Linked DNA regions of Yarrowia lipolytica. The protein of the gene in region 2 interacts with the protein of the main gene of each other region in a pairwise test. Links are inferred from orthologs where the notes say so. Each region holds a gene or a part of one and is shown on either strand. Other genes may lie near its edges. The genes, in order: YALI1_F04238g and YALI1_F22219g.

What was found.
Region 1: the proteins of YALI1_F22219g (region 2) and YALI1_F04238g interact in a two-hybrid assay, tested with the Schizosaccharomyces pombe proteins (2 studies listed by BioGRID). The link is inferred for Yarrowia lipolytica from reciprocal best matches to the Schizosaccharomyces pombe genes tfx1 and tsn1.

The regions. Positions count from the first base shown.
Region 1 is NC_090775.1:422,131-425,282, forward strand, and holds YALI1_F04238g (uncharacterized protein), read left to right. Parts: upstream 1-1,715; coding exon 1,716-2,474; downstream 2,475-3,152. Other genes in the region: YALI1_F04211g (uncharacterized protein), read left to right, coding at 1-380; YALI1_F04236g (uncharacterized protein), read right to left, coding at 577-1,569. UniProt on the Schizosaccharomyces pombe protein: DNA-binding protein that specifically recognizes consensus sequences at the breakpoint junctions in chromosomal translocations. Selectively binds single-stranded d(GT)n and d(GTT)n microsatellite repeats.
Region 2 is NC_090775.1:2,220,652-2,223,746, reverse strand, and holds YALI1_F22219g (uncharacterized protein), read left to right. Parts: upstream 1-1,810; coding exon 1,811-2,533; downstream 2,534-3,095. Other genes in the region: YALI1_F22241g (uncharacterized protein), read left to right, coding at 1-1,675.

The DNA.
Region 1 (3,152 bases), about 1.8 Mb from region 2:
TGCTCCACAACGGCTGTTTGAAGCACTGGCTCGAGAGGTCCAAGCTCTGTCCTACATGCCGACGAAACGTCTTCACTGCTCCAGAGGTGGTGGCCACCACTACCGTGGCCCAGGTTACACAAGTCACAGTTCCCGTGGCTCCGCAGGTTGCAGATCACCCCGCGTGGGTGGAGCAGGCTGTGCAGTCACAAAGCAGCTCTACCTCTGAGTCGTCATCAAACGACGCTCATGCCCACCACAAGCTCAAGCTCCGACAAAGTGCCATTGAGGCGGGTGTGCATGACTCGTGGGAAGTCTTTCCGACCCGGCGAAACAACAAAAACCAGGTGGAGCTGTGTTTGGGAGAGGGAAGATGGGCCGTTCTTGAAACTGTCTATTAGTATATAGTATTTATTGAGTGAGTGTTTGAGAGCGGAGCTCTACAACACGTTCAGCACGGATCCAGTAGTTATAAAATGATAAAACTGCTCAGATTTCTTTGATAGTGACAAGAGTCACAAGTACACGTGATCAAGTGGCGTTTAAGTGTTTTTATGGTCATTGTTGTATGTAGCGAGTAGGACCAAGACCGTTATTTCACTGTAGCATCTGCCGAACATTGATATTCACCCTCTTTGTGTCCAGCCAGTCCTGGTACGGACTATTCAAATCGGGAGAAGTGTTTGAAAACACCTTTCCAATGCCATGGTACGCATGTCTCGACTTGCCGCCCATAACAATGACATCTCCAGACCTCAGCATGAGACAGAGAGGAGGAGCCAGACTGTTTTCGCTGTCATCGTATCGGTTGAGACCCACGTAAAAAATTGCGTCCAAGCCTATTGACACACTGACCAGGTCGTCTTGAGACAGTTCAGCTACGTCTTGGTGAGGAGAGAGAATGTCTCCGGGACTGTAGAAGTTGATGATAGCAGCTTCGGGGTTTATAGAGAACAAAGGACGGCTCAGAAGCTCGTAGAGGTTCTTGGGAAAATATGGGAACCCTTCTGTGCCGGGAATAAAGCTCGGGTACGCTTTTGTAGTCCAGTTGTACTGTCCTCCGAGGGTGACCCATCGTAACTGTTTGTTCTTGATCTTGTCTCTTGATGTGGGCTTTCCTCCTTCTCTATGTAGTATTTTGGCGTGAGGATTTTCGTTGTTGAATAGGTTGAAAGGCCGCGGAATGTCGTAGAACAAGTCCAGGTTATTGAGATGTTCTTTTGGTGGTAGGTACTGCTCGATAGTCTCTGTCACCAGGCGTGACTGGACTGCTGGAGGCATCAGGTTGGGGTATATGAGTAGCCCTGGAAGTTCTTCGACTGTGTAGTAATGTTTGGGTGGAGCGAAGTCAACTTGCGTCTGTGCAAAGGTCTCGAATCTGTTTTTTAGACCCACTGATTCGGCATCAAACTGCTCTTGTTGTATCGTGTAGTGTGGAGATGAGTATGATTTGTAGGATGAAAACACGTCTGGGCTGTGTAGTGCGTCTTCATGGCTGATGTGTCGGTGTGATTTGTAGTATGGTCTAAAGAGATCGTTTGCTGGCGCTGGCGACGGGGATAGCGACGGCCGTGGTGTTTCCAGGGTCATTCTAGTGTTTGTACTAGCTCGAGATAATCATCCGACTTCTTCTACTCCACCACCTGCATGAATGGTGCACTTTATTTTTCACTGCATGATATCTGGAAGTATTATCTAAAAGTTTGGATCGATCCTTTCAAACTCAACATATCACCATGGACTGGCTCAGTGAAGTGCAAAAGCTCAACGACCAGAACTCGCAGAACGTCACCCGGCTGAACGAAGAGATCGACAAGCTAGATCTGACGCTCAAGAAGGCTCAGATTGTAGTAGGACGAGCTCACACTGTGGCCCCCACCAAGTTTTATCTCCAGCCTCTGCTTGAAGACCCCATCTACGCAGAGATTGCAGAAAAGTGTCAGGAGCTGGCGACTACCGCGTCTCAATGGCAGTTTTACAGATACAACAACATGTACGGCGGCTGTTTCCAGCGGGCTGTGTTTGTGACTCTGCTACGACACTTTCTGGCCAACTGGGTGGACACTGACATGGCTATTGTGGTCTCCAACCCCTCCAATTGGCAGTCACTGGTGGCCGCCACCCCCCTAGGACCTGATCTAGTGTCCAAGCAGCTTGGAGTGCCGTTTTTGACCGAGCTGGAGGCTGGAAATGAAAACACGTGCCATCTGACCGACTACGACTACCTGCTGGGTATCGTGACCATGATCAACGAGCTTTCTCGACTTGCATTCAACTCCGTTACGGCCATTGCCTCGTATAACGAGAGCCACGACACCAAGTTGCCATTTGTGTTCCCTCAGTACCTTCTTGCATTCATTAAGAACACTCATGCTGGCCTCATGGTGCTGAATCTGAAGAATGATAAACTGCGAAGAAGTTATGATTCTATCAAATATGATGTGAAGAAGGTGGAGGAGATTATCTATGATTTGACCGTGAGACGGTTGGTCTAAAGACGGTTTCTCCAGGATGTGATTGCTGAAGAGCGTCTGAAAGAAAGAAGAAAAGATAACACGAGAAAACACCAACGCTACAGCCGTTTTTAGAGAGCTGACTATGAAAGACTGGTAACTAATGACTACCGTGCATATTTCAATCAATAATATCAAGAAAACCTATTGGTCTTTAGTCATACACATCTATCATAATGATAACCAGGTTATGTATATTTCTCGTACAGTGCCATATGCAACTACAGTTCAAGTACACTCATAGTGGCCCCCTTATAAAAGCTAGGAAGCTACAAGTAGTCAGATACTGGGATCTTAAAGGAGCTCTTCGAACTTGGATACTCTCCGCGAAACATCAGTATAAGAGCTCTGACCACTCGTACATGGTAGGAGATCTGTTACCCCCTAACAAGGAAAGCACACAGTAGTATCTGTTTCTAAGTAGAAGCAGCCTCCATAAAGTGTTGAAATTGAAAGGACGGGATCATCCGTATCTTAACCTGCTGCAAGTATCGTACTGTTTCGTCTCTTCTGGCGTACAGTAGCTTCCTTACAGTACAGTATGTAGCACCTGATAGGACAGAACTATCGAGAGAAAATAAGCAGCAACGTGCCACAGAATAATGAGCACACCAGGGGCCTATATACGAGTATAGTCTACTTGTTTTTGTACTCTCCTTC
Region 2 (3,095 bases):
GGATTTGCAAGCAGCGGGCCAGAGCCAGGCTCTCAACTTCACGTCTCATCAGGCAGACGTGGAGCCCCGAACTCTGGACCAGGACCGTGTTCTCGACAAGGCTCGTGAGATGAACAATGCCCGTGAGCACGGTGCCGAAGAGGGACATGGATACTCCATTGGGCAGAATGTGTACTCTGGTTCCAACAAGGAATACTTTGATTGTCATCCCAACGGTGAGGACGGTCCTGCTGAGCCTGAAACTTTCGACGGTCCTCTCCACGAAATTCAGCGATACGACTACGTGTCTGCTCAGGAACTTCGAGCTGCTGAGAAGCGTGCTGACGAGGAAACCCGCGCTATTGCTGTTGTTGGAGACGGGGATGACGACGAGCATGACGACGAGGAAGTGGAGGAAGATGACTTTCAGGATGCTCACTTTGAGCCTGTTCATGCTCACACAGAGTCTATTCAGCCCCATGTGGCTTCCAGTGGGGTCGATGGTCATGCACCAACCCCCAACGAGCTCAGCACTGCAGCCATGGCCGCTACTGCTGTTGTGGGCGCTTCCATGGCCGGTACTGGTGTTGCTTCGGCCCTTGGCAAGTCGTACGCCTCTCCTGCCATTGCTTCCCCTGCTCTGGACTCTTCTGCCACTTCAATGTCTTCTCCTGGTGCCTTTCATCCCCAGGAGTCTTTCGATCCTCAGGCCACTTTTGAGCTTCCCAGTGCACTTCGGGAAGTTGTGAGCCAGTCGCCTGACATTTCTCATGTGTCAAACATGTCTGAGAACCAGGATGATACTACGGAGCTCACTCAGATGAGCGACGATGGCAATGTCAAGCCCCGAGGTGTTGATTCACCCAAGTCTCGAGAAGACTACGACACTCTTCTTGGCGGCGAGGATCACGAGGGTCACCACTACGACAATCACAGCACTCCACTGACCCATTCTGTCACTTCTGTGCAGGATGCGCCTCAGCCTCGCGAGTCTCTCACCAGTGAAATCAGTGAGATTGATGATGGGCATGTTCCCCCCGTCAAAGTGGCTCAACATCAGTTTGAGGGCCACTCTGAGGAGATCGAGAGTGGTGAGGACGGCAGTGAGCTGGAGAGCAGCGAAGAGGAGGACAGTGACGAAGAGGATGATGAGGACGAGTCAGAGTCCGAGTCCGAGGACGAGCAGATCATTGCTGCGGATCTGGGCATTTATCTGCCCAAGGCCGTCAAATTCGATGGTGAAGATCCCGACAACACCGTGGAGGATCTGCAATATTACCTTGAGGAGCAGTGTGTAGAAGTCATCGAGGCTATTCAGAATCTGCTGACGGCCATCAAGGGCAATTCCAACATGATTGCCATCTCCGCTCACTCTCGAGCCATTTGCAAGGTTGTGCTATGCATGGTGGATGCCACTTCTCAGTCCATGGCCCAGACTCGAAACCATCTGCTTAAGGAGAATGGCACTTGGATTTGCCAGGATCTGCGGGCCTGCACGGATAGAATGAAGATGATCTTCAAGGACGACAAGTTCGTTAAGCCCGGAGCCGAGTACCCTCCCAAGCAGTTCAAGCAGCGGCTTGCTGGTCTTTCGTTTGATCTTACCAAGTGTACCAAGGAGTTGGTCAAGACAGTCGAGGAGGTTTCCCTTCAGACGGAAATCGGCGAGATTGACCGTCAGATTGCACATAATTAAAAGTATTTATTGTATTTGTATAGTCTGAGTTGCAATAATGAAATCTTGTAGTTCTGAGTCTGACTGGGTTGTGCTGGGTTCGTTGCATGCACCTTACACAAGTTCCTGCATGGAGGCTAAATATTTCTTCACGACATGTCACTGAAACGAAACACAGAAACAGAAGTCGAGGAGGGCGTCAAGGTGGCCAAAATCGAATCCAGCACGGAAGAAACGGCCAAAAACTTTTTTCTCCAATTCAAGACACGCCTCGACATCTCTCAGGATGAGCGGTCTCAGGTCATCAACATTTCGCGAGACGTGACGGCAGCCAGCAAGAAAATCATTTTTGCACTTCACAGGGTCAAAAAGAATGGCCAGGAGCCGCTCTCATTGGCTCCAGACGTACAGGCGACCCTGACGTCTCAGTACAAGCTGATTGCTGCCAAGTTCGCCGAGATCAACAGTTTAGTTGGCAACAGCACAAACGCGTACTGGAAATACTCTCGGCAGGTGTCTGGAGCTTCGGAGGAGATGATTGAAGCCATGTCTTTCCAGTTCTGGCTTGAAAGGGGCCAGATCATGACCATGGAAGAGCTGCATGAGATCATCAAACAACACAACATTGATGTATATGTCCATCCTAGAGACTACATTTCTGGTCTGTTTGATCTGACCGGTGAGCTAATGAGATACGGAACTCTGAACAAAGCACATGGATTGCCAATTGTGGCGTTACTGCGGGAGTTCGAGTACTCTGTCTTCGTGCTCACAGGTGATCCAAACCTGGTCAAGAAGATAGAGGTGTTCCAGCAGAGTCTGGCTAAGCTGGAGAGACTCTTGTACGATCAGAGCTTGCAGGTTAGTGAAGTTGTCTGAAGAGAAAAGATGAATTATGATAGAGACGGTATCGAAGGTACTCGAGGATGTTTATAGCATTTTGAATATAACAATGGCATGTTTACGGAGATTGACTACTGGTGGCCACAGTACTGAATGAGCACGATGAGTAGTTGTACAGCAATGAATATCCATTTCAGATACAAACAGCTACTTTACTCACACAGATCTTCATATAAATGTCAGGACCAACTTCCCAGTTTAATACTGCTCCTTCTTCTTTCCATATATAGTAATTTATCTCCAATTGAACTAGGTGGGAGAATCTACTATAAGTACAAATATAAGTACATACTGTACCTACGATAGTGTCTACGATAGTATTGATAGTATATGACCTGGTTAATCAGAGGAACATAGCCATCACTATTCCTCAATACCACTGTGTTCAATTCCGGCCATATATAAACGTCTCAACGCTGTCCTCATTTACACTGGTACACTACACCTTGTCGTGCACAGTTGTATCGCTATTTAACTACAGTCCGAACTTCGCTTTGTTAGATTATTACCTACTTATCCATGTGGAATACCTCCTCGT